Xenopus tropicalis: one gene and its partners. The protein of the gene in region 7 purifies or fractionates together with the protein of the main gene of each other region. This does not show direct contact. Links are inferred from orthologs where the notes say so. Each region holds a gene or a part of one and is shown on either strand. Other genes may lie near its edges. The genes, in order: cul4a, hells, numa1, xpc, camk2d, parp1 and wdr76.

Region 1 (3,500 bases), on a different chromosome or scaffold from region 7:
GAATAGTGTCATGTAATTAAAGACACAATGTGTTATATTATGAGAATTACTTTATAGTAATAGTCACTTTTAGTTTTATGAGGGTTTTATTTCCTAATTCTGATGTGACTGTCTCTATATCCTTTTTATGCAGGACTGTCTTACTTTATGGCAGGGTCTATAGACTCAGGATCAGAGCAGATGTCTCACAAAGCACATGGACAGGGTCGGTTATACTTTTATATTTATTTTTACAACACTGATACTTAAAGAGCTTAGCATATGAGAGTGGAACAGGATAAGAAAGTTTAGCTGAAGCAGAGCAAACTGTACAGTGAACTTTTTGTTTTTAATTTAAAATGTATTAATTTCCCAAACTTTTTCCAAAAATGTCAAGTACTTGTTAAACAGAAACAATAGACGAGATACAGTCCCTATCATGTACCAGTTACTTGATTTAAAAAAAAAAAAATGACAATACTATTACATTGGGGTGGGGAATTTGTAGTGAAATTTTAGTGTTTATTTTGAAGCAATTTTTTGAAGTTGCTAAAGTTTTGTTTACCCAATTTTTCTGGGAGAATAACTCTTCCTAGAGCCTTGTAGCAATGTATATACAGTGAAATTTAAATATTTACGGGCTTCAGCAATAAAGGAGCAGTAACCAATAACAACCAATCCGAAGGTAAAATTTACTGATCACCTGTTTGAAAGCAAGCATCTTATTCGTTGCTATAGGTTACTGCTTATGGCCAAACTTGTGCCTTTTATTACATATGAGGGAAGTTTATAAAGGTCAGACCTACAATGTAACTAACAATATGGATAAAGAAAATGGGGTTATAATGGTAATTGTTATTGATAACCATATCTCATTAAAGTTTTAAATAAACGCTAACATGCTTTTTTATCTCCGCAATTTTGTAAAATATAGATTTCCAGTGAGAATATGGGGAAAGAGCTCTGCTGACACTCATTCTTGGAACCTAATTTTTCATGTCGTTTAATCCTTGAGTGGCTCACCAGTGTACCACTATGGCACAGGAAGCTCAGAAAAAAGCAAACTTTTCAACACTTGCTGGACATACAAATGGTCTCACAAAGTCCTCTGCCTTGACCTCTAAGCCTTCAGCTTCCAAAAAGTTAATTATTAAAAATTTTAAAGGTAGGTATTTCTTAATCTGTTTTTTAACTCTTACATGCTATGAAGGTTAATCCATTGTTGAAGCATTTTTATATATAATGCTGGCTCTATATAGACGGGGGTTGGGGGCAGTGCATAAATTGTTCATCAGTAAGCAGACACATTTGTGTTAAGCTGGCCATACACGCACCGATAATATCGTACGAAACCTCGTTTCGTGCGATATTCGGTACGTGTATGGCATGTCGGCGAGTCGACCGATATCGCAGGAAGCTGCTGAAATCTGTCGACTCGCCGATCGGCCAGGTTAGAAAATTTTGATCGGGCACCATAGAAGGCGCCTGACCAAAATCTGCCATCAGGGCTGAATCGGCAGAAGGAGGTAGAAATCCTATTGTTTCTACCTCCTTATCTGCTATTATCTTATCTGTTATTTTTAGGTGCCTGACACCAACCTTCATTTGCATGTATATAAACATAATAGTTACTGCCTTTTTAAGGAGTATATCACTTTTTGCCCCTGGAATATGCTGTTTGATTCCATACATAAATACCCTGAGATCACATGTAATTAATTCTTCAAATTTGTTACATTTTACATGCTCTGCTAGTAACTAGACCTTACATGGTGTTGTCTGCATGGCTGCTCTGACTGTAACATCTGAAATTTCAGATAAACCAAAACTGCCTGACAGCTACACTCAGGACACGTGGCAAAAGCTCCAGGAGGCAGTGAATGCCATAGAAAGTAGCACATCTATAAAATACAACCTGGAGGAGTTATACCAGGTATGACTTTCCTTTGCTATTTTAGTAAAGTCTTAACCAGCCACCCATTCTGTCCTGCACTGTTAATTACCCTGGCAACCCAAACCTATCCAGCTCATGGGTAGACTTTTTCTCTGGTACTTAGCAAAACGCAATGGTATTATCAGGTATATTAATAACTACAGTTACTGTATAGTACTCTATTGTGCTAATGTGTACTAACATGGAGCTTGTTCAGATGGTATATAGAGCAGTGCTGTCTAACTTCTGTGGTACCGAGGGCCGGAATTTTTCTGACCTACGTGGTGGAGGACCGATAATGGAAGCCAGTTTTGACCACTCCCCTTTTTGAAACCACACCCGTGTTGTCACATGACCATACCCATATTAATGGTTGTAGTACAGCAAAAACCTGCCATACTCTGCCTTCCCTAACCCTGCCTGTGTGTGCCATACTCTGCCTTCCCTACCCTGCCTGCGTGTGCCATACTTTGACTGTGTGTGCAATTCTTGGCGGGTTTGTGCCATGCTTGGCCTGTGTGTGCCATACTCTGCCTGCCCTACCCTGCCTGTGTGTGCCATACTCTGCCTGCCCTATGCTGCCTGTGTGGGCAATACTCTGCCTGCCCTATGGCACACACAGGCAGCATACAGTGACACAATGCTGGCACTGCTCCTACAGTCTGCAAAAAACTTTTTAATTGCAGTATCACCTCAGTATATGTTCTTTTTGTAGTGTGCAGGGATTATTTGTGGGTTTCTACTGCTCCTACAGTCTGTCTGAGGTGTGAACAGGGGAACAATGTGGGTGATTACAGTCTGAGCCTGAGGTGTGAACACTGCAGGGGGTGAACAATGCAGAGATTAAAAGGTGAACAACACAGCGGATTACATTTTCAAAAATACAGAGGGTTTACAGCCTGAATCTGAGGTGTGAACCATGCAGGGGGAGCAGTTAATCACAGTACTGTGACCGCACTGATATAGAGGGTTCCAGACATGTTTAAAATGTGAAATAGATAGACATCATCACACAGAAAAGTAGCACATTATGTTTTTTTTCAGCAGTCACTATTCTTATACCAGTCTCTCTTCTACCTGAGAAGTGTAAAGATTAAAAAAAACAATTTTCTCTACATTTTGTGTGTTTAAGGGGTTGGAAGGCTTGTCTAGGAATAGCATTGCTATCTGTAATCAAAGCAGTTAGTACTGGACATACTTTTTACTTATTGTTTAATCACTTATTGTTTAATTTTTTTTTTTTCTTGAGCTAAACAGGGAGATTAAAGCTACGCAAAATTTAGCACAGGTATCCCTTATATGGAAACCCATTATCCAGAAAGTTCCAAATTATGGAAAGGCCAATTCTCATAGACTCCATTATAAGCAAATAATTCTAATTTTTGAAAAGGGTTTCCTTTTTCTCTGTAATACTAAAACAGTACCTTGTACTTGATCCCAAATAAGATAGCATTAATCCTTATTGGAGGCAAAACAAGCTTATTGGAATTATTCAATATTTAAATTATTTTTAGCAGACTTAAGTTATGGAGATCCAAGTTATGGAAAGATCCCTTTTCCGGAAAACCCCAGGTCCTGAGCATTCTGG
Region 2 (4,175 bases), on a different chromosome or scaffold from region 7:
TAGGGAAAGCTTCCCCATATCAATCATCTTCCAATATGATTTCCCTTTACACTGTAATAAAACAGTACCTTGATTTCAACTAAGAGAATCCATATTGGTGGCAAAACAATCCTATTGGGTTTACTTTGTTTAGATGATTTTTAGTAAACAAGGTATGATTATCAAACTTACAGAAAGACCCTCCCCATCCAGCACTACCCAGGTCCCAAGCATTCTGCATAATACCTGCATCAGTTTAAATTCTGTTTCCATGTTGGTTAAATACTAGATACACACTTTTATAGAAACGGACAAAAACCTCATACTTTTCATGCATATTAACATGTTGTAGCTTCTACAAAGTGCTAACCTTACAAAGGTTGATAATCCCTTTTGTAACAGAACACACCCATGAAAAGCACATGCCCTCAGGGTAGTCAAATCTACCAGTAGTTATATAAATCACCATGAGTCAAGCGAAAGTCCCAAGGTTCATAAATACATCGACAGAGAACTCAGAAGTTGATGCAAGAAAGCACAATAGACAGAGTTCTAGCTGCTAAACTACAACTACACCAACATGCCTTGAATACTGCGAGCTCTAGCACAACATCCCTTAGCTGGCGGATGCTGTAATGTTTTATCTAGTTTTAAGGGTTTTAATGGCAAAATAGGATTCAGGACTCATGATTAGGACAACAGCAAAAAAGGATTACGATTTTAGTAACTTGGCTACTGTGCTGATGTGTTTTAGGCAACTGGACTCTTTCTGGTGCAGAATCTATCCAGTGCGAACAGGATTCTAATTAAGTGACAGGCATATGAAACACCACATATCCTATTAATCTTAGGCACATAGGGGAGTTTGTTATGTTTGTTATATCACTGTAATCCGTGTGCATGTCATTGCCCCTAATGGTATATAGCACTAATCCATCTTCACACGGCAGTGACAGGTGGGGCAGGGCATCAAAAAGCTCACTTTTTTTTAGCATTGGTTGCCTGTCACTGTTCCATATGCTTTCAACACTTATTATAAAACATTAGAAGTGGAAAATGAAATTTTAACTGCTGCAGAGGTAAAAAAAGCCCTTGCGCCATAGCCCTGTAACCTGCCTCTGAACACATAAGTGGAGTGGTGCCCTATCACCAACTGGTACACTGGGTACATTAACAGGGGCACTGCTGTCTTCTACTGTACCTGCTCCAGACACAGTAGAAGACAGCATTCACTATAACTCAACACCTGGTGCCTTCTAACCTTTATATATTCATATAGCACCAACAAATCCCAGAGTTCAATTGAAGGGTGCATACAAACATACAGATACTAATAAATATGGAAGGAAAAGAGGGCTCTGCTCAATACGTAAGTACATGCAGAACAGCATTACACAGGGGCAGGAGAGCAGGGTGCTGTACAACAGAGCTAATACAGGCAGGAGGGCCCATTACACAGGGGCAGAGAGCAGGGTGCTGTACAGAGCTAATACAGGCAGGAGGGCCCATTACACAGGGGCAGAGAGAGCAGGGTGCTGTACAACAGAGCTAATACAGGCAGGAGGGCCCATTACACAGGGGCAGAGAGAGCAGGGTGCTGTACAACAGAGCTAATACAGGCAGGAGGGCCCATTACACAGGGGCAGAGAGAGCAGGGTGCTGTACAACAGAGCTAATACAGGCAGGAGGGCCCATTACACAGGGGCAGAGAGAGCAGGGTGCTGTACAACAGAGCTAATACAGACAGGAGGGCCCATTACACAGGGGCAGGAGAGCAGGGTGCTGTACAACAGAGCTAATACAGGCAGGAGGGCCCATTACACAGGGGCAGAGAGAGCAGGGTGCTGTACAACAGAGCTAATACAGGCAGGAGGGCCCATTACACAGGGGCAGAGAGAGCAGGGTGCTGTACAACAGAGCTAATACAGACAGGAGGGCCCATTACACAGGGGCAGGAGAGCAGGGTGCTGTACAACAGAGCTAATACAGGCAGGAGGGCCCATTACACAGGGGCAGAGAGAGCAGGGTGCTGTACAACAGAGCTAATACAGGCAGGAGGGCCCATTACACAGGGGCAGAGAGAGCAGGGTGCTGTACAACAGAGCTAATACAGACAGGAGGGCCCATTACACAGGGGCAGGAGAGCAGGGTGCTGTACAACAGAGCTAATACAGGCAGGAGGGCCCATTACACAGGGGCAGGAGAGCAGGGTGCTGTACAACAGAGCTAATACAGGCAGGAGGGCCCATTACACAGGGGCAGGGGAGCCCATTACACAGGGGCAGGGGAGCCCATTACACAGGGGCAGGGGAGCCCATTACACAGGGGCAGGGGAGCCCATTACACAGGGGCAGGGGAGCCCATTACACAGGGGCAGGGGAGCCCATTACACAGGGGAAAGAAACATGTTACTTCTATTGTAACAAATCTGAGAGATACAATCACAATTGTTACACATGTAACAACTTTTTTCCTCAAAGAGGCCCTGGAAATAGAGGAACAGCAAAAGCCCCCTTATTCTAGCCAAACCCAGCCCTGTACTAGGTGGCAGCCCCCCCATCCCTCAGACTTATTCCTAATCTTGCATGAAATGCTTGCACAACCACAACAATCATAAGAAAATAACGCATGCATGTCCGCAAGCATTTATAGACAACGGGTTTGCTACTAAACTACAACTCTCAGCTTCCCCGAGTTCTAGTTTTATAACATTTCCGAATAGCAATAGAGAAGTAAACCCCAGCTACAGAACATGCGGCAATGTCTCTGTACCCTGTCCGGCCGAGCTGTGTCCCACAGGCATGGTGCAGCGTTTCCCTCAGCTCCGCCACCACTCGCGCCAAACTTTCTACAGAACTCGCGCGTTCAGTCACACAACGGGCTGGCCACGCCCCTCGCTTTCAGGCTGCCACGCCCCAAATAGTGACGCCGCAGCTCCGCCCCTGCTCGCCGGGGAAATGGCGGGAGAATTAGCGGAAATACAGATAGCTACCTTGGGCTAGTTATAGTGGAAGGCGGGACTGTAGTCCTCTTGATCGCCATCTTATTCTAGTTATTTTTTGTGCGTGAGACAGAAGGTTTATTTAGAGGGCTTGTTTCGCGATGTGACTCCTTGCGTTTGTAGGCATATAGTGTTTTTATGTTTTATTGAAAACTATACAAAATATAATTAACATGTTAGGTTGACGTGCTAACAACACATAACAGACGATCACATTTGCCCCAGTCCGTAGGCATATAGTATTACACCACTGAAATCGTCTGTAGCTCCTAGGCCTGCCCTTTACCTAAATTCTGGTGAATGGCTGAAGGGCCCTTGTGAGATGGCACAGACAGCTGTTAAGTAATGGGGTTGTCTTCAACAAAACCATGCCTATTAATGGAGTTATATTTAACAAAACACTGGCTAGTTTTGTTGAAGATAATGACTGAAAATGCCCAAAAGTATCTTGAGTTTTTTGTTCATGGTGGCATCAGAAGCCCAGTTTTTTGGGTTTTTTTTTTTGTGCAGACAAAGGCTAGTTTTTTACAATTAAGTTATAGCATAAGGGCTAATTTAGGAAAAGAGTGGGTAAAATTAAAAAAAAGTCATAACTCTGCAGGCCATTAGCCTTATCGGGACTTAAGGTGGCCATACACATTAAGATTTTATGTCTCACTGCATTAATCCTCCTTTAGGAGCCTTCATCTCCTCACCAGTGGCAGGTTTTGTGGCCATTGTACTTTTAGCTTTGAAATGGTTATTAAAGGGTGTATGAAAATTTTTGTGTGGTAGTATTGACAGTTTTGACCATTTGCCTGTTTGTGACTTTGCCTTCTCCCTCTGATTTTGTACGCTTAGGTTCCCTAGCCTGCCCAGAACATTTGCCCTGGTTCTCTCACATTAAGTCCTGGCGGCACCTGAGTAGCAGAGGGCTCCTCCCGAAGCGAAAGGTGGCTGTTATAGGCAGAAGAGTGAGCTCAGACTAGGGACCTTGGGTTTTGTTCTGGGTTTTGGGATACTGTGTGTGACATTACGTTGGGCCCAACATGGACCTTGAAGGTGCTGCTGCTTCTTCCGCTGCTCCTGAAGTCATGTTATCCAATCTCCTCCAGCATCTTGGGGAACAAGAGGCAAAGCAAGACCAGATCGTCCAGTGCCACCAGAGCCTTGCTGCTAGATTATTACTGGACGCTCTGTTGCTGCTCCTGCTCCC
Region 3 (3,500 bases), on a different chromosome or scaffold from region 7:
CCTTCTTCAGATGTTGAATTTGTTCCTCCATCTGGCAGGAGTTCTGCACTATCTTCTGCTGAGACTCTTCATATTTGGCCTTCCAGATGTCAACCACCTTAGACAACTCGTCCCTTTCTGCTTCACGCTGTTTGATAGCAGCGCTGGATTCTGCCATTTTTGCCTGCAGGGTTTCATTTGCTGTATGGTACTCCTCCTGTAAGTGCTTCAGCTGAGATTCAATCTTCTGTCCAGCGGCCCTTTCTTCAGCAAGGTTACTCAGTGCTGCATCTCTGCTTTCACTCAACTTCTTCATCTCCTCTTCAAGGTGGGAAATTCTTTTACCGTCGCTATCAAGAGAAGCAGCAAATTTCATTTTCTCTTTCTCTAGATGTTCCCTAAGATGTCTCAGACTTTCGTCCATAGACAGGAGCTGTTCTTTAAGTTGCGAGTTTTCTTCGGACACCAATTCACAGGAGGACACCTTCTTCTGATATATTTTCAGTTGACTCTCCTGCTCTGAAAGCTGTGCCTTTAGAGACTCCACAGCGGCTGCATGAGATTTGCTCTGTGAAGCATTTTCACTATCCAAGTTCTGGCATTTAGCAAGCAGATCTAGAATGGTGGCATCCAGTTCCTGTAGCTTGGATGCCAGCTCTGCCTTTTCCCTTTTCAGCTCCTCTATAACAGAAAGACTAGCTTGATGATCTTGTTCCAGTGTTTTCATGGTCATGTTTAAGACACTGAACTCTTCATCCTTTTTGCACTTGTACTCATTGAATGTGGAAAGAGTGGAATCTCTCTCACAGGCAACTTTCTGCTGTTCTTCTCTTAAATAGTCAACTTCTTTCGCCTTGCTCTCTAGCTGTTGTGTAAGTCCAACCAGATTGCCCTCGGAAACCTTCAAAGAGCTACTAATTTGCTCCACTTGGTTTACAAGCTCCTGAATGTTCTGCTTTGAGGATTCTTCCAGTATTTTGAAGTTTTCCAAGAGCTGATTTTTTTCTCTCTTCTCTTCTTCCACTTGATGGTGAATGCCCTTCAGCTCTTCCTCCTTATGCACCAGGGAAGACTTCAGCTTGGAGATCTCCAGTTTTAATGTTGTAATCTGGCATGTCAGATGTTCCTGTTGTGCCCTGGCCTCGTTATCTTGCCTCTCCTTCTGAAATGTTATTTCTGACAATGAAGTCTGCAGGTTAGTGACTATCTCCTGCAGCTGACTTTTCTCAGATTCAAATCTGGACCTCTGTGCCTCCATGTCAATTTCTGTAGTGCTCTTTTCCTCTTCCAACTGATGGATCTGTTCTGTTAGACTGAGGCACTGGGTGCTGAGCGCAGTTACCTCTTGCTTCAAGTCTTCCAGCTAAAGGAGAAAAAAAAAAAACAAACCTCAGTAAAAAACGTATGGTACTAACAGTCTTTACAGTCTCCATGCATCCATCCATACCTTGAGGATGTCACCCATACAATCTCCTTTTTCTTCCACCTCTCTCTCCCCCATCTTCTTTAGCTGATCCTCAAGCATTGATATTTTTCCCTGCAGTATTAAGTGATGCTCTTCCAGATACTTCTGCAATAACAAAACAGATATTAACGCCAAATCCACAGAACAATCTTTGTATACTTTTATATAACGGAGGAAAGGACCTTGCAGAACATACAAATCAGAAACAAAATATCACTCCGGAGAAACGTGTCAACCAACCAGTCGCAGTTTTATTTTATACTGCACATCGTGTTTCAGAACCAGTGATCCTTCATCAGGATCTGAAGCATGTTGTGTATATAATAAAACTACAACTGGTTGATTGACATAGTTCTCCGGAGTGATATTTTCTTTCTGATTTGTAAAGTCTGGATGGCGTGACGGTGCCTCTACTCTGTAAGAAAAACCTATGTACAGAAAATAACGTGGTAAACTTCACTCACTATTTTATTGTGATCCTCACAGAACATATTTTATCTAGGTGAATTAGAAGGAAAAAGGAGGGCGTTCTCAAAAGGGAGGTAGGAGTGCACCAAGAGCCCGGGAATGTGTACGGTGAAAGCTTGGGAAGGCAGCATGTAATGACAATAAAGGGTAGTAGTGAAGGGTCCAAGGGAGACATATCTGGGAAGGGCATGGGATTTGGCCTGTGCCATCTTTCAAAAGGGCTGAGCCACCCCAGGGACATGTGTGCAGGGAAAGATTGGCAGAGCCAGCGGGAGTCGCATAGTATGCCTGCTGTCCAACTTGGGGCCCCTCTCAGCACTAGTCAACCGTCTACCAAAGTGAAGGAGGACAGGTAGAGGCAAGTAGGGCGGCTTCAAGTGAGGGATGGAGCACAGAGACCCAGTAGACCAGGGATCCCCAACCTTTCTTATTTGTGAGTCACAGTCAAATGTAAAAAGACTTGGAGAGCAACACAAGCACCATAAAAGTACATGGAGGAGCCAAATAAGGGCTGTGATTGGCTATTAGGCAGCCTCTATGCACCCTATCAGCTTACAGGGGCTTTATTTGGTAGGAAATCTTGTTTTTATTCAACCAAAACTTGTCCCCAAGTCAGGAATTCAACAATAACTGGGGGCACTGAGAGCAACAGCCAAGGGGTTGGTGAGCAACATGTTGCTCACGAGACACTGGTTGGGGATCACTGCAGTAGACCTTCCAGTAGGAGAACAACCCCAAGAATCCACACCACATGGATGTCCTGTCTAACCAACAAGGACCCATAAGTCCCCTGGCTGCCACTTTTAGCCACTGGTCAAACAGGCAGCCTGTGTGTTCCCCAGCCCCACGGAGGACAGCACAAGAAGGGGCAGAGTTACAGCCCCTGTGGGAGGGGTCAAGTACAAGTTGAAGTCAGTTATTTTTAGTCTTCTGCATCCTGATGGTGGACGCTATATTCCTACAGTTCCTATATCACCTCGATAAAGGAGAAAATACCCTTCCGAAATACTTTGAAAGGGACACTAAGCTCACAATAAATATTGGTTCATAAATGCTACACCTTAAAAGGCATATTATGAATTATCAAAGGCTACCATGCTGCCTATCACAGCAACCTTCTGCCATGTCCATTATCTGGCCAATGGAGCACATCACACAGAACATGAACAACGTGTTATGATCGTTTGTTAGCATCCCCGAAGGTCAAGCTAAACCAAGCAGCCCAACACATCTGATTAAGCCATTAATTCATTACCTTTTCACCGACTGCACCACTCAGCTCACTCTCTAACTGGCTCTGTTTCTGCTCCCAGTTGCTCAGAGAAAGCTCGTGTTCCTCTGTGGTTTCATAGAGAGCCTCCTGCAGTTGTGCCAAGCGGTTGGATAAGTCTCGCACCTGCACAAAGACACATATGGGATGATATATATATGTATATGTATGTGGGGAAGTGAAACTTGTCATGTGACATGGAGGATTACAAGACCTTGTAAGAGAGCTCGCCATTCTCCTCGGCCAATTGATCGTTCTTGCGTTCCAGTTGTTTCTTGTCAGTCTTCATATCCTGACACTGCTTGAGGGTGTCCCGAA
Region 4 (4,093 bases), on a different chromosome or scaffold from region 7:
CAGCCCTGCACTCACAAAAGCACAGACAGGCTTCAGTTCCCTATCAGGTCAGCCTAGCTGCTGATTGGTTCCTATCTTAGAGTGCCCCGGCTCCCCTGCACATCCAGAGAATTCAGCCAGCAGGAAGTGGAACAGATGGGCGGGGCTAGTGGGGTTTGGGGGGATTCTCAAATCAGTCCGAAACAACTTTTTTTTTTTTTAAGCACAATCCTATATCTAGGAGTATAATTCACTAGTATATTCTTAAATTTTATAGGATGTGTCCCTAAAAAACAGGAGTCAAGAGTCAATTGGGAGATAAACTCAGAAATCTGAGGTATAGAAACTAAAACAAGCCTTGTGCTTCTATTGTTTGAATATATTGACGCCATCAGCCACACAGAACATACATTTCATTTTACTCCTGACCACAACAACTGGGTTTTTAATCAGATTTACATCGCTAGTTATGAATATAAACACACTCCACCGGTGCTTCACGATTAAAAAAAAAAAAAGGCTTTGAAATAAAAGAGAAAACAGTCCAGTTTGAATAAACATTCACTTAATTCCCCGCAACATAAAAAAACCCTATACGCGTTCCCAAGCGAGACCGGGCCAGGAGCACCCCTTATGCCGCACTGCGCCGAGAACCGAACAGAACCTGTTTTCCAGTCTTATAAACCCACATCCCTACCTGCTCTCCGTCGTCCGCCATCTTCAAAACCCCGCGCAAAGGAAATAGCCGAGAACCCTGACAATTCTCCTATCGCGATATTTATGTGCCACAGGAAGAATGTGAAGCTCGGCCAATAGCGTGAGAGTATGGGCAGTAAGTGGCGGAGGCCTGGATGTGACGCTTGGCCAATAGCGTGAGAGTATGGGCAGTAAGTGACGGAGGCCGGAATGTGTAGCTCAGCCAATAGTGTGAGAGTATGGGCAGTAAGAGGCGGAGGCCTGGATGTGAAGCTCGGCCAATAGCGTAAGAGTATGGGCAGTAAGTGGCGGAGGCCTGGATGTGACGCTTGGCCAATAGCGTGAGAGTATGGGCAGTAAGTGACGGAGGCCGGAATGTGTAGCTCAGCCAATAGTGTGAGAGTATGGGCAGTAAGAGGCGGAGGCCTGGATGTGAAGCTCGGCCAATAGCGTAAGAGTATGGGCAGTAAGTGACGGAGGCCGGAATGTGAAGCTCAGCCAATAATGTGAGAGTATGGGCAGTAAGTGTCGGAGGCCGGAATGTGAAGCTCAGCCAATAATGTGAGAGTATGGGCAGTAAGTGGCGGAGGCCTGGCAGCGGGGTGCACATGTGTATGTTCCGGAAGTGACGCGTTAATGTTATTGTCTGAGACAGATTGTTTCCTGTTGTGTGGGTTATACAACCAGAGGGGACATGTGAGGTAGAATTGTGGGGAGATGGCAAAGCGGAGGGGGTCTGAGGGTGCTGCGGTAGCGGGGAACAAGCAGAGAAACCGCCCGGCAATAGACTCCCTGCATGGTGGTGAGTTTCTATGGGGTCTGCATGTCTATAGAGATTTTCATTCATCTTGTGAATGATATACAGTAACACGTAAAATGAAATCTAAACACAGACTTAATTCACAGACTTAAATAGACTTAATTCTTATAGGTACTGTATGGGGACACTGTGCAGAGTTTCTAAATAGGCTGGGAATAATACTGTAGTGAGTGCAGATTGAACCCTATGGGCATCAGCCCTGTACTATTCACTATACTGGTTTTAAGATTCTTCTATGATTGCTAAGGTAACCCCTAGAAACCAGATAAATTAAATACAAACCTTGACAACATAATTCAGAGACCAGATGAAATAAAAAATAAAGACCAGTTGCAGATTGTGTTAGTATTATGCCATCTGGACAATATTAAAAGATAGGCAGAGTTAGCCCTTGAATTGTGCATGGGCTTTTATTTCTGTGCTAAATGATTAACTACCAATGCTTTGGGCTCTGGTGGAACATTACAGGTCGTTTGCACTTAGCTCTTCATCCTTCCTATTTAATAAAGGGGCATCTTGTTTTAACCATGTAGATGACGAAGATAAATTCTATGAAGAGAAGAGACCCCCAGTTAAGAAGAGTAAAGATTCCTGCGGTGACAGTCTGACGAAGCAAAGTTGTGTAGCCAAGAGACCGACTGTAAATGATGGGAAAACAGTTGGAAAACAAACACAGTGAGTCATCTTGGTTGAGTTGATTGGTTTTACAACAATGCAGGAGAGATGCACTAAGTCTGCTCCATGTTTGCTTATTCTTGTGTCAATATGGCCAATATGGATAAAGCCGGCCATACACACACCAATGATGTTGTACAAAACCTCATACGATTCTCTGTGCGTGTATGGGGCTTGACGAGGCAACTGATATTGCAAAAAGCTGTGGATATCGGTCGACTAGTCGATCGGCCAGGTTAAAAGGTTTTGATATGGCACCCCGAGCAAAATCTACGTTCAGGGCTGAATCGGCAGAAGGAGGTAGAATTTCTATTGTTTCTACCTCCATATCTGACGACTCAGCCCTGAACGTTACTGGAGGGTGGGAACGATCGAAAGATCAAAATTGCTATGTGTATGGCCACCTTAAGTGGTCTTAGCGCAGCGCACAACAAGGTAGCTGGAGCTTTTACATGCATGTATAAATAAGCCCACATGCTCATATCTGTAGTTTATTAGTCTATAGTTCAGATTTACTAACCCACTTTAATTAAGAAATTTCTTATGCAATGTTATTTATGCTCAGATCTGTACTGATTTCAGTAGTATATGTGCTTAAGTCAAATGTAAGCACTTAATACAAATAAATATAAAATTACTCATCATTTTTTCCATTTACATAATTATTTTTGTCTAGTTTTCAAGATAGTGGTAGTTTTTACTCTTCTCATATAATGAATTTAAAACAACAGTGTCCCTGCCTGCTGTTCAGTTCTGCCAATCAGCTGGCAAAAAATCCACTTTAGTGAGAAGAAAGGAGTCATCTAGCAATTCTTGTGTCAGTTCATCGCAAGACTTCCGTCTGCTCACAAAAGTCATTTCCTGAGTCAGACTAGCGACAAGACTTTTGTCTGCTTGCTAAGTCAATTTTCTGCCAAATGTGGCTAAGGTTTTATATAAAAAACATTTAGATTATCATTCATGGCCTCATTCTTGAGTTTTAGTCTTTTTAATTCTTGCTGTGCAATCTACAGAGATCCACCAAATTTGAAGATCAAGACGCCTGTTAAAAAGTTTAGTGGCTCGAAGGATGCAGAAGAGAGTGAAGATGAGTGGGAGGATGTGGAAGGTAATGGACTTTTATGAATTTATATATCTAGTGAGCCATTTACAGTCTGACTGATCCATATTTAGGGCACTTTGGCTGCGGGGATGATGAGGGGGAACCAAATTTCCAGACACGATATAGTGTCCAGCGACACTATTCAATCTGCAGTATTCCAGTCTTTCACATTCATGGTTCAAATAAGCTCCAGAAAGACACCCATCTGATTTTGTGGGCAGATGAACTTGGTGCCTTAAGGGCTGTGGCACACGAGGAGATTAGTCGCCCGCGACAAATCTCCGTTGTCGTGGGTGACAAATCTCCCCAAAATGCCATCCCACTGGCGAGAATCATGTAAGTGCCACAGCCCTAAAGGACATGTAAACCACCCCCACAAACAATGTAATCAGTGAACAGTCTTTTTAAAACCTTTACAAATCTTTACACGTTAATAGTAAGGCATCCCCTTAATCACTTAGGATTCCTTTTCCTCCTCTAATCCACTCACCCCTCTACCTCACAAATGTGCTTTGGCTGTTGGGTACTGGGCATGCTCAGTTCCAAACTATAGCAGCGAATCTTCTCAGGAAGGAAAAATGGGTGTGCACTCAAGGCAACTGCGTATACACCAACAAAAAAAGAGTAAAAAAATCAAGAGAAACTTTATTTATACCTTCATCTCACAAGCCTTGTGTGTTTTGTGTCCAAATGACATTTAATCATAGGCCATTTTTCCTTCCTGTTATGAATGGGACTTGGTCACTCACTTAGAGATGAGGGTCTGGGGCTGGAGCACCTGGACCACTATTTCACATTGGTGAGTTTTCTACAGTAGATAA
Region 5 (3,435 bases), on a different chromosome or scaffold from region 7:
CCTATTTACTTTCAATGGTGACGTGTAAAATGCTGTCAGCCCCACAATTTTTATGCCCCAAACTTTGCAAAGTTGGTCACTGGGGGACTGCAGGTGAAAAATTGGAAAAGTGGTTTGGGCCACTAACAGCCAATCAGATTTCATCTATTGAATTTTATTTATTTAGTTAAATTTAAAATGCTGCCATTCTCACACTATTTATGCCAGGGTGCCCACTGTTTGTCACTGGGTGATTTGAATCAAGGTTAGAAAAAGTGGGCACACCCACCAACCACCAATCACAATTTACCTATTGACTTTTATTGGTTTAAATTTAAACTGCTGCCATTTATTAACTATTAATACTACGGTCCCCAAACTTTGCACAGTGGTTTTTCCAATATATTTAAACCAACATGAAGTTTGTTCTCAAACTTCTTTCTAGTTATAAATTAATATTTAAACTACCACAGTAATTCTAATTTCAAAAGAATAAAAGAGAAAACACACTCGCAACACCATCAACTTAATCCACGATTTTATTGACATTTTAGTTATATCAATCTTTTTATGGCAAGAAATATATACACTGTGCCCATCAGTATATTGCGACATTTCAAAGGATGATATATTCACCATGGTGCAGAGGTTTAGTAATGGTTTCCTCACATGGCCGTGTGGAAGACAGATTTGGTCTACAGTACTATGTCAGCATTTCATGCTAGTTTTGTTAATTAAGTATATGAAGCTACCATAGTAACTGGACATTAATATCAGCACACGATAACTAAATACTAACAGTGGAAGCACATCTAGAATAAAGATATACAGAAAACAAATTGCTGTTATTAAAATTTCACAGATTTCATTGGCAGGTTAAAATGGCTCAGCACATTAATTGGTTGATATAGTGTAGAAAATTGTGTGTATATTTATTTGTTAGCATTACTCAGCTCACATCCACTACTGAACAACATGTAGAGTCGTAAAAGAATTGCTTGGAGTTTCACAAGGTTGGATTAATGCGAATTCAAAAGTCTTTTTATTTTTCAGGATGCAAACCAAGGAAAACAATGACACCGCTCCACCATGCACGCACAGCACTAAAGTAACCAGCCCCTAAACTTGTTCAACATAACCATGTATCTAATGTTGAAATGAAGCACAACCCCTGGTGGGGGCTCAGGTTTAGTAGCACAGATACTGAATATGATCAATATAAATCCAGTTCACCAAAGTTTCCGTTAGAAAACATTTACAGACAACAATAGCATTCCCTGCATATAGTGTTGAAAGTTCCCTCTAGTTTATATATCTATATAAAAAAAACAATTGTGGTTTTGTAGCAGATCATTAACCAAAAGCAAATAGTGTGCACTGGGACAAAACAGGTTAGCATCAGTAGAAAGTTATTGGTAAAATTAAAGCAGTGCAGAAATAGATTTATTAATACCCATCACAAAAATTGTAGTTATATTTTCCATCCCTATTATTATAACCTTTAAAGCCCATATCCTTTACAACATACAGTACACAATAGTTTAAGTATTGTTTCAAGACTATACGGACACAAAAAATACATATATCTTTTAAGCATTATATACCCTGAATGTAAAATTGTACTTTTTCATATGCTTAATTATCAAAAAAACTACCTATATTAGCCCCCAATCGTTACCAATATACACTCATTAAACATTTATCTGTGGAGTATATAAAAAAAAATATATAGAAGAAATAGAGAAAACTACTCCAAAAATCTTTCAGACTATCTAAATTATATTTTCATTATTTTGGAAGGTAATTCAAAGTGACGTACAACATCTACTGTGTATGACTGTTATAGCAAGGATCTAAATTGTATTTTGTGCTAGACTACGATATTTCCCATGTTATGACACAATAGTCTGGAAACCAGGCAGTCACTGCCTATATGTTTCTATATCTATACTGATCTGTTTCTAAACTTTTGTTATAATCAAGTCTAATAGAAAAAAAAACTGTTGCCTGTGTGTACACTTATAGATACACACAGATATGGGTCATTTCCAAAGCTGACTTTCTTCAGTTGACAGACACTTGGCAAAATCATAATGAACCACTGAATGAAACAATATTGTAACTGCCTTCTTATTTTATTGAATCCACTTTAATCACCATTTACTGGAATGTTACGAACTTGAGCAGGAGTAGACTGCAGCAGATCTCGGAGGAGGAAGATGTTCTTAATTATGGAAACACCCTGCTGCTGGGACAAAGGATAAGGGATTGAGTCCAAAATTTACCATCCAGTTGTCTTGAATATTTGAAATAAAGGCTTGCAAGGTTTATTTAGCTGAAAAGAAAGGAATAAAGGTTAAACACATTTTTTTATTCCATATTAACCATATTTGGAAGCACATTTAAGGTATGTTTGTTCTATGAACAACATAAGCCTTATTCTATATTGCATTAGCAGATGATGATCAGATGTAGGAAGGGGTATGGTTTATCAGTTGCTCTGGCTGCTGCTATATACAGTTATAATTCTGTGGGTCTTCTTTCATTTACGGCAATAGGGAGTGCCGTAAAAAGTCCAGGGTGTGCAATTAATTTGGGTTCAGTGCTGTCAGTAGAGTTTCACATTAACTTGAATGGAAGGCAAACTCAAAAAATATGTGCCTTCTGATGTGACGAGGCATAGGGCTTTAAGGTAAAATGTGCCAACAGTATGCTTTAAATAATTTTGGAACATAATGAATATTAATTGTAATATGTATTTTCATTGTGATTATCCTCATCCCAGAGGAGCAAAGAAACATAATATAAAGCCAGGAAACAGGTTAATAAATTTTTCAGTTTATTTGGAAACTACAATAGCATGAATTGTGGAAGAAAACTGAGGTTCTACTGCAGTTGCAGGTCTAGTCATAATATATGTATGCATATTTCAACACTGAAGTAAACTGGCGGCAAATATAAACCAGCAGCTTACTGGGATGAGCCTTACTTCGGTATTGTTGGTGACCCAGAACGATGGAAGTGTACATTCTGCCATTTTCCATCACGACGGTGCCACACACGGGTCTCCTCTGACTGCATTGTTTTTGGCATACCGGTGGAATCCAAATACTGGGTGAGACGAATGTATGCTATGCATGCAGCATCTTCTCCAATCAGATGAACATGAGGATTCAAGATAATAGTATGGACTGGCTTGTTGCTCTTGGACAGCGCTAAAAATCAGTAACATAAAACAATGCATTGATTTATTGGAAAACCATTTCAGTTACAGCTTTGTTTTTCTAATCCCTCAGCATGTATCTGTGCAAAAGATTTTTTTTCAGGCATTTAAGTAACTTTTGTCAAGGGGAGCATTTTTTGGCTCCAAAAAAAAGACACACAAACAAAACTGGGAATAGGGAAATATACCATTTTCAAAATAAAATCGATGGAAGTCCATTCCTTCTACTAGAT
Region 6 (4,228 bases), on a different chromosome or scaffold from region 7:
AACCTGCTAACACAAGAAATAAACCCAATAGAACTGTTCTGCCCCCAATAAGGGGTAATTATATCTTAGTTGGGATCAAGTACAGGTACTGTTTTATTATTACAGAGAAAAGGGAATCATTTAACCATTAAATAAACCCAATAGGGCTGTTCTGCCCCAATAAGGGGTAATTATATCTTAGTTGGGATCAAGTACAGGTACTGTTTTATTATTAAGGAGAAACCGGAAATCAATTTTAAAAATCTGAATTATTTGAATAAAATTGAGTATGGGATATAGTCTTTCCGTAATTTGGAGCTTTCTGGGTTTTCAGATAACTGATCCCATCCCTGTATATTAAAAGCAAAGTTCGATGTTCCAGACTGCAAAACAAAGCACAAGGCCACTTACTGAATTTTTCTTACTCGGGTGCATTAACTTCAGCCAAAATAGATACAATTCCCATACACAGAGAAAGAGGGGGTCTTGAATAAAGACCAAAGCAAAACTGTTTATCTGGACTGATGCCTAGAACTGTGCTTCAGTGTATGTACATCACTGCTGATCAAATCCAATGCAATCAGATGAGATCACTTTAGTCTGGTCTCCCCACCATCACCTGGCATGTATGTGGGGGGGCACTGGCTGACCAGTATGGGGGTACAGCTTATTGCGTGCCCAGAACATTCCTTCTCTGTATATTTGTATTTATACATATGGGTAGGGGGTGCCATAGTGTTTCCCTTAGACAGTACAGTATGGGGGTACAGCTTATTGTGTGCCCAGAACATTCCTTCTCTGTATATTTGTATTTATACATATGGGTAGGGGGTGCCATAGTGTTTCCCTTAGACAGTACAGTATGGGGGTACAGCTTATTGTGTGCCCAGAACATTCCTTCTCTGTATATTTGTATTTATACATATGGGTAGGGGGTGCCATAGTGTTTCCCTTAGACAGTACAGTATGGAGGGCATCATTTTGTGTGCCCAGAACATTCCTTCTCCGTATATTTGTATGTAGATAGGACTCAGCTGGAAATCCCTTACTGATACTACCTAGTTAGTCTCAGTTCAGCACAGTAATCATGAAGGAAGGGGGTGGGTGCTGCAGAGCCACAGGGGCTAATAAAGTGCCCAGTGTGACACCAGCCTTTGTTATCTAGTAGAGACAATTGCCCCGGCTCCCCCCTGGGTTCTGAGCTGCTCGGTATGTATATAGCCTTACAATGGGCCCCCGGCACTGTAAAGTCTTGTAAATACAGGCCAATGGCAGCCTCTGGGAACACGGGGCAAATATTCCTCTTGCTGTGCAGCTCTACGGTGGGTGTGTAAACATCCAGAATTGCCCTGGCTTCTCCCTGGGGGAGGGGTTTGGGCAGATACAGAAACAAACTGTATATAGGATCCGCCTTCTTATTCCCAGTATTGGTACCATGTTACCCCATTCTGGGAGAAAGACCAACAATTTGCCCTGGTTCTTTCCCTTAACTTCCCTGGCTTGCCAACAGAATACCCCAACACAGGGCAATAACAGCCCATCACTGGGGCAATTACCTACTATACATCACAAACCTACCGTTTGACAACAGTCCCCATTCAGGGGCAACAAGCCCCCCTACAACTCATTACTGCCCTATACCTGAACTCAAAAGTACCCCAGCTGGGGCACTTACCTAGAGCATGTTATCCATTGGCTTTCACAACATACCTTAACCTGGGGCAATAACCTTCCATGACACCCCACCTTAGGACCCGTATTCACAATAATAACCCACTGGGCTGGAGGGGGCACTTTCCTATACCCCATTACTAGGGCAATTAGCCCAGGGCTAATAACTTACAAACTGCCCATGCTGTATGAGCCACACTAGCCTCCCCATAGGCAATAATGGCCCATACTGTATGAGCCACACTAGCCTCCCCATAGGCAATAATGGCCCATGCTGTATGAGCCACACTAGCCCCCCATAGGCAATAATGGCCCATACTGTATGAGCCACACTAGCCCCCCATAGGCAATAATGGCCCATACTGTATGAGCCACACTAGCCTCCCCATAGGCAATAATGGCCCATACTGTATGAGCCACACTAGCCCCCCATAGGCAATAATGGCCCATACTGTATGAGCCACACTAGCCCCCCCCATAGGCAATAATGGCCCATGCTGTATGAGCCACACTAGCCTCCCCATAGGCAATAATGGCCCATACTGTATGAGCCACACTAGCCCCCCATAGGCAATAATGGCCCATACTGTATGAGCCACACTAGCCCCCCCATAGGCAATAATGGCCCATACTGTATGAGCCACACTAGCCCCCCCATAGGCAATAATGGCCCATACTGTATGAGCCACACTAGCCTCCCCATAGGCAATAATGGCCCATGCTGTATGAGCCACACTAGCCTCCCCATAGGCAATAATGGCCCATACTGTATGAGCCACACTAGCCCCCCATAGGCAATAATGGCCCATACTGTATGAGCCACACTAGCCCCCCCATAGGCAATAATGGCCCATACTGTATGAGCCACACTAGCCCCCCCATAGGCAATAATGCTGCAGCCCAGCCGGGCCCCTACCTGCACCATGAGGGCAAGCCGCAGGGACTCCTTGGCGATGTTGTCTCCGCATTTCTTACAGGAGGCGCGGCCGCTCTTGGCGTACTCAGCCCGATAAAGTTTCTCCGAGGCCTCGGCCATGGCTGCAGGGAGGAGCGGCTCCTACACACAGGGACACTCCGGCTCCCACTGGAACAGCGTGCAGCCCCAAGCCCGCCACACAACAGAACAGGCACAAGCAATCACCGCCAGAGTGCGCGTCTGGGCCGCTTTGCTTCCTGGCATCCGGGGAACGGCAATCCATTGCCCATGTCTGGGCAGGGAGGGCGTGGCCCCAGCACACTTAGTGACGTCACTTTCCCTAGCTTATCTGTGTGTCTGTGTGAGAATTGTGAGGAATGTTTGTTTGTGTGAGGAATGTGTGTCTGTGTGAGGCAAAGTATTATGTAAGGATAATAACAAGGCGTCAGATTTGTGTCTTGTGACTATATGGGCACAGAACCCCTCAGTGACTGCTAATATCCTTATCATTTACAGTAGGGGGTACATTATCCCTTATAATACATGAGTGATACTCAGAGTTCCCTGTATAACTCAGCCTGCAGCCTTGTGCCTTTATATGGGGGGCACAGAACCCCTCAGTGACTGCTAATATCCTTATCATTTACAGTAGGGGGTACATTATCCCTTATAGCACATGAGTGATACTCAGAGTTCCCTGTATAACTCAGCCTGCAGCCTTGTGCCTTTATATGGGGGGCACAGAACCCCTCAGTGACTGCTAATATCCTTATCATTTACAGTAGGGGGTACATTATCCCTTATAATACATGAGTGATACTCAGAGTTCCCTGTATAACTCAGCCTGCAGCCTTGTGCCTTTATATGGGCACAGAACCCCTCAGTGACTGCTAATATCCTTATCATTTACAGTAGGGGGTACATTATCCCTTATAATACATGAGTGATACTCAGAGTTCCCTGTATAACTCAGCCTGCAGCCTTGTGCCTTTATATGGGGGGCACAGAACCCCTCAGTGACTGCTAATATCCTTATCATTTACAGTAGGGGGTACATTATCCCTTATAATACATGAGTGATACTCAGAGTTCCCTGTATAACTCAGCCTGCAGCCTTGTGCCTTTATATGGGGGGCACAGAACCCCTCAGTGACTGCTAATATCCTTATCATTTACAGTAGGGGGTACATTATCCCTTATAATACATGAGTGATACTCAGAGTTCCCTGTATAACTCAGCCTGCAGCCTTGTGCCTTTATATGGGCACAGAACCCCTCAGTGACTGCTAATATCCTTATCATTTACAGTAGGGGGTACATTACCCCCTATAATACATGAGTGATACTCAGAGTTCCCTGTATAACTCAGCCTGCAGCCTTGTGCCTTTATATGGGGGCAGGGCCGCCATCAGAAATCACGGGGCCCCTCACAACAAGATTTTCTGGGCCCCCCCTCCTCCCACACTCCCAATGGCCCCTCCCCCAGTGACCCCTCCCATCAATACAAAGGACATACAGACATTGGTAGCCAGGGCCCCCCTAAAACATTGGTGGCCAGGGGTTACATTTTACATTGGTGCCAGGGCAGGTACCCCCTAAATCAATGCTGGCCAGCCCAGGGCCCCCTAAAACATTGGTGCTCCCCCCAAATTACTCATACTA
Region 7 (4,193 bases):
GACAGAATACTTGCTTGGATTTATGAGTCATAACTTACAGAAAAGGCATGAGAGTATTTTTCGTCACTTTGCAAGCAAAGCCTGCCAATACATTAACTTTTCAAGTACATTGGTGGACATTATAGACAAATAGTGGGAGAACAGGAGCACACCCCTATATCAAGTTTGTGGAATATCCTGCCGGGTGATGTTATATTCTATTAATGCCTTTAAGAGTGGCTTGGATTATTTTTTTGAACAAACACATTACATAGGGCTATTGTAATATTAAAATCTACAGTTCATTTAGTTATCAGTATATGATGAATATGAAATCCAGTCCCTCAACTGCATTATTATTTAAAACTGCAGCAAATATGTTAAAAATCGCTGAACAGATTACCTTTTAATACCACGGGTCTGATTTGATTTCTTTGGGGGTGAACTAAGACTTGAGGCAGTCTGTAATAAAACAAATACAGTGTTCAAATTAAAAAAGAAATTTATATATATATATATATATATATATATATATATATACATACATACATACATACATACATACATACACACACACACACACACACAAGTACAACGTAAAGTAAAAGACAAAATTTCAACGGGTGTGAAAACTAACAGTTTTTTAGTGAGTAGTGAGCCTGGAAATTTTTTGGCAAACCGCCAAAAAATAAAGACTTCAAAATAACTAATAAAAATAAATATAAAGAAATAAGGAGTGCAAGGCGGCCAGAGATTTAGTGCAAGCACAACTAGGTTATACAGGTATAAGCCTGTCTCCCATAGACTCCATTTTAATCAAATAATTCAGAATTTTAAAACTGATTTCCTTTTTCTCTGTAATTATAAAACAGTACCTTGTAATTGATCCCAACTAAGATATAAATAATCCTTAGTGGATGCAAAACAATCCTATTGGGTTTAATTAATGTTTTATTGATTTTTTAGCAGACTTAATGTATGGAGATCCAAATTACGGAAAGACCCCTTATCCAGAATACCCTTGGTCCTGAGCATTCTGGATAACAGGTCCTATACCTGTACTGCATTATTTGGGTATTTGCCAGGTAACTATTAGTACTAATAATTTGACCATTTCCTTCAAAGTTAGTTACATCTGGCTGCCAATGTTGGCTAGGGGTTCAGACTAAATACTAAGTAATTAAGAGTGGTCTGGCTCTAACACATGGAATGCTTGGAGAGAGGAAATAAAAAACACACCTCAAGTAATTTTAGTGATGCCAGAAACTTTGCATTTTCTTTAATGTTGTTCAACCTTTCAAGTTCATATTCTGACAGTTCTGTAACCTGCAAAAAACAAAGTATAAAGGTCTGGTAACAATTTTTTGTACAATAAAAATCTATAATAATGCTACTCCTCATCAAAACGTGACCAGCAGACAGGAAGACTTAAAAATAGGGAGTCCGTCATCTGTAGCTGTTAACCTTTTTGTTAACTTTTAGTATGATGTAGAGAGTAAAACTTTATGACAATTTGCAATTGTTTTTTATTACTTGTGTTTTTTTAATTATTGTACTTTTGTTCAGCAACTCTCCAGTTTGGAATTTCAACAGCTATCTGGTTACTAGGGTCCGAATTACCCTAGCAACCAGGGAGTATTTTGATTCAGTGGCTGGAATATGAAGAGTAAAGGGCCTGAATAGATAGATAAGTAAAAAAAAACTATAGTAACTATAACAATAAAATTGTAGCCTCACAGAGCAATAGTTTCTTGGCTGCTGGGGTCAGTGATGCCCATTTGAAATCTGGAAATGGGCATCACTTAACATGAAATTGAAAGCAAGTGACAACCAAAAAAAGGTTAAATGTTTTTAAGGCTATAACGAAGGTAACAGACATTTACCTGTTCGGGGTTTTGTTTATAATTTTTCTTTGGCGCAGGAAGAGTGTCTGTTTCTGTCTTCTGATTTTCAGGTCTCACTTGAGACAGCAAAACAATGGGGTGTTTTCTTGTTGAGGACTGTTCTTTTGGGAGACGTGATCTCTTAGTAGGTGTACCATCTTCAAGCTTGTCCGTCTCTAGAGTGCGTTTCTGTGGACGATTGGGCGCAACACATGCTTTATTAGGAGAATGCATAACAGCATGGGTACGGCGGGTACTACGACGTAAACCCTCAGGAACCCGACTGTCTTTAGGTGTAGTTTCCTATTGGATAAGAAAAAATAAATATTCTTAATATTTCAATTGTTTACGGACTTTCTACTTAAGACCTTTGAGTAATTGGCTGTTAATCTTTTTTCTGGTTCCCTAAGACACATAAAATAGGATTTGACTGTATGAATTGATAGCTCTGGGTACAAGCTTTGCACCAATGAATGTCCACTTGTTTCACAGAATATGCCAGTTGTTGGTGTGTTCACAAAATTGTTGTATTTACAGCAACATTGTGTGAAAAAGTGATAATATAAAAATTAACCAATCACTGCAGTTTATGGGGAGGGGGTGGGGGGTCGCTGTTTTTGTCTTCATAAAAGTATTGCTGTTATTCATGGCGCACATTTTGTCTATCCTGCTTCTCACCTGCTCTATCTGCGCTGTCGCTTTCTTGCTCTCCATGTCTGAACTCATTGCGGCGCGGTCCTGCGTTCTCCTCTCAGGCAAAGCCTCTCCTTATGCAACACTCTCCCACTTATATAACTGAATGCCAGAATGAGCATCTACTAAGCCTCAAAAAGATTCCCGCCGCTTCAAGTTGCATAACCAGGAATAGCAGTGCGGAAGTGACGTTGTCTAAGCGCAAAGTTTCATTGGAGGAAAAGTTGCAAGAAGTGACAAGGCTTCCATAGTCAGCTGGCTAAATGATTGTGTCAGGGTGCAAGCTCCTTCTGTCCAATTCAGTTCATAAACACACATAGTGATAGTTCGAGTCCTTCATAGTGTCCCAAACAACAACCCCACCAGTTTCTTAATCCCTTGCTTCCATCCGCAAAAAAGTCACACATTTCCTGAAAAATATATCTTAATAAATTATGTAATTTGCCTCACAAAAATATATGTACCAGCTGTGGTAAAATATGCGGCAATTAGAAGTCAGTAAGGAGAGTAATTTGGCGGGACTGGGCCTGCAAAAAAAAAAATAAAAAAATCCACCCTGCATATAATCACAGGTACTTTCCACACACGCAAAATTGTGCAGCACCAGTGGGGTTTGCTTCTTTTGTAGTCAGGGCCGCCATCTGAAACTTTGGGGCCCCCCATGAACACAAGTGCCAGTACCAAAATATTGGCCACGCCCCTTGTGTGCACTATAAACAGCTGGTTACTCTATAATAAGCAGTTCATATTGAGTTCCATTGATTAATGTGCTAATAATTCAGTTAGTTTATTGGGGGTCAGTGGGGTTTGCCCTATGTTTAACTTCTTCCCATCTACCTGACCCTGCTCTGTGCTGTCATTGCTTGTTATGGAAGTTAGGTACGTTTTTGCATAAGTTACGTAAACTGATACAATTGATCAGGCACTGATATAATTTAGTAAATGGATCCCAATATAAACAGAAGATGTTACTCTATAACAGTGCTGTCCAGCTTCTGTTGTACAGGGCAGGAATTTTTCTGGCCTAAATGGTTGGGGGCTGATAATGGAAGCCTGTTTTGACCACTCCCATTTTTAAACCACACCCACTTCAAACCACACCCATGTTATCCCAAGAACTTTTAAGACCATACCCACATTAATGGTGATAGGGCAGCAAAAACCCAAATGGTGCTAACTGTAGGGTCGCCAGTTAGAAAGCCCTCCTCTATAATAAGCAGTACATATAAATAGGCACAATTGTACCCCCCTGATGGTGGCCCTGTCGGTAGTTGTGCCACTTGTCGCATTCCTTTATATGGGCATGAAACTTACTGGTGACTTGCATAAAAATCACTCTGTGGGAGATGGGCTTTCCATGTGTCAAAGCTTTTTGGATAATAGGAATCTGCATAAAAGATATCATAAGGGGCAATGCTGCCAAAAGGCCAATTGAGAAACTCGCCCCAGGGTTGGCAAATAGCTGCTCCCTGATTTTTAAATTAGAATTTTGTTAGTCGCCAAACAAGCAGATCTTAACGTGTATAACGTGTAAAATACGTGGGAGTGAACTTTCTTCCATATACAGAGCTCTAGCATTTCCAAAAAAATGCTAAATATGGTAACATCATGGAACAACCTCAAAATATCTAGGCTGGG

What was found.
Region 1: the proteins of wdr76 (region 7) and cul4a purify together in Homo sapiens (affinity purification with western blotting; 3 studies listed by BioGRID). This does not show direct contact. The link is inferred for Xenopus tropicalis from reciprocal best matches to the Homo sapiens genes WDR76 and CUL4A.
Region 2: the proteins of wdr76 (region 7) and hells purify together in Homo sapiens (affinity purification with mass spectrometry; 4 studies listed by BioGRID and IntAct, counting the BioPlex papers as one, with this or other methods). This does not show direct contact. The link is inferred for Xenopus tropicalis from reciprocal best matches to the Homo sapiens genes WDR76 and HELLS.
Region 3: the proteins of wdr76 (region 7) and numa1 purify together in Homo sapiens (affinity purification with mass spectrometry; 3 studies listed by BioGRID and IntAct, with this or other methods). This does not show direct contact. The link is inferred for Xenopus tropicalis from reciprocal best matches to the Homo sapiens genes WDR76 and NUMA1.
Region 4: the proteins of wdr76 (region 7) and xpc purify together in Homo sapiens (affinity purification with mass spectrometry; 3 studies listed by BioGRID and IntAct, with this or other methods). This does not show direct contact. The link is inferred for Xenopus tropicalis from reciprocal best matches to the Homo sapiens genes WDR76 and XPC.
Region 5: the proteins of wdr76 (region 7) and camk2d purify together in Homo sapiens (affinity purification with mass spectrometry; 3 studies listed by BioGRID and IntAct, counting the BioPlex papers as one, with this or other methods). This does not show direct contact. The link is inferred for Xenopus tropicalis from reciprocal best matches to the Homo sapiens genes WDR76 and CAMK2D.
Region 6: the proteins of wdr76 (region 7) and parp1 purify together in Homo sapiens (affinity purification with mass spectrometry; 4 studies listed by BioGRID and IntAct, with this or other methods). This does not show direct contact. The link is inferred for Xenopus tropicalis from reciprocal best matches to the Homo sapiens genes WDR76 and PARP1.

What each region holds. Positions count from the first base shown.
Region 1 is NC_030678.2:116,028,784-116,032,283, reverse strand, and holds part of cul4a (cullin-4A), read left to right. Parts: intron 1-133; exon of another isoform or gene 134-205; intron 206-913; 5' UTR 914-1,014; coding exon 1,015-1,144; intron 1,145-1,796; coding exon 1,797-1,912; intron 1,913-3,500. UniProt on the Homo sapiens protein: Core component of multiple cullin-RING-based E3 ubiquitin-protein ligase complexes which mediate the ubiquitination of target proteins. As a scaffold protein may contribute to catalysis through positioning of the substrate and the ubiquitin-conjugating enzyme.
Region 2 is NC_030683.2:39,204,604-39,208,778, reverse strand, and holds the start of hells (lymphoid-specific helicase), read right to left. Parts: upstream 2,801-4,175; 5' UTR 2,783-2,800; coding exon 2,752-2,782; intron 1-2,751. UniProt on the Homo sapiens protein: Plays an essential role in normal development and survival. Involved in regulation of the expansion or survival of lymphoid cells. Required for de novo or maintenance DNA methylation. May control silencing of the imprinted CDKN1C gene through DNA methylation.
Region 3 is NC_030678.2:178,866,037-178,869,536, reverse strand, and holds part of numa1 (nuclear mitotic apparatus protein 1), read right to left. Parts: coding exon 3,397-3,500; intron 3,309-3,396; coding exon 3,168-3,308; intron 1,550-3,167; coding exon 1,427-1,549; intron 1,343-1,426; coding exon 1-1,342. UniProt on the Homo sapiens protein: Microtubule (MT)-binding protein that plays a role in the formation and maintenance of the spindle poles and the alignement and the segregation of chromosomes during mitotic cell division.
Region 4 is NC_030680.2:132,920,450-132,924,542, forward strand, and holds the start of xpc (DNA repair protein complementing XP-C cells), read left to right. Parts: upstream 1-1,293; 5' UTR 1,294-1,392; coding exon 1,393-1,477; intron 1,478-2,028; coding exon 2,029-2,170; intron 2,171-3,183; coding exon 3,184-3,278; intron 3,279-4,093. Other genes in the region: U6 snRNA-associated Sm-like protein LSm3, read right to left, coding at 677-697. UniProt on the Homo sapiens protein: Involved in global genome nucleotide excision repair (GG-NER) by acting as damage sensing and DNA-binding factor component of the XPC complex. Has only a low DNA repair activity by itself which is stimulated by RAD23B and RAD23A.
Region 5 is NC_030677.2:69,358,044-69,361,478, forward strand, and holds the end of camk2d (calcium/calmodulin-dependent protein kinase type II subunit delta), read right to left. Parts: coding exon 3,391-3,435; intron 3,195-3,390; coding exon 2,969-3,194; intron 2,315-2,968; coding exon 2,311-2,314; coding exon of another isoform or gene 2,307-2,310; 3' UTR 501-2,306; downstream 1-500. UniProt on the Homo sapiens protein: Calcium/calmodulin-dependent protein kinase involved in the regulation of Ca(2+) homeostatis and excitation-contraction coupling (ECC) in heart by targeting ion channels, transporters and accessory proteins involved in Ca(2+) influx into the myocyte, Ca(2+) release from the sarcoplasmic reticulum (SR), SR Ca(2+) uptake and Na(+) and K(+) channel transport.
Region 6 is NC_030681.2:7,987,469-7,991,696, reverse strand, and holds the start of parp1 (poly [ADP-ribose] polymerase 1), read right to left. Parts: upstream 2,801-4,228; 5' UTR 2,687-2,800; coding exon 2,567-2,686; intron 1-2,566. UniProt on the Homo sapiens protein: Poly-ADP-ribosyltransferase that mediates poly-ADP-ribosylation of proteins and plays a key role in DNA repair.
Region 7 is NC_030679.2:118,344,340-118,348,532, forward strand, and holds the start of wdr76 (WD repeat-containing protein 76), read right to left. Parts: upstream 2,801-4,193; 5' UTR 2,589-2,800; coding exon 2,541-2,588; intron 2,166-2,540; coding exon 1,863-2,165; intron 1,306-1,862; coding exon 1,219-1,305; intron 442-1,218; coding exon 383-441; intron 1-382. UniProt on the Homo sapiens protein: Specifically binds 5-hydroxymethylcytosine (5hmC), suggesting that it acts as a specific reader of 5hmC.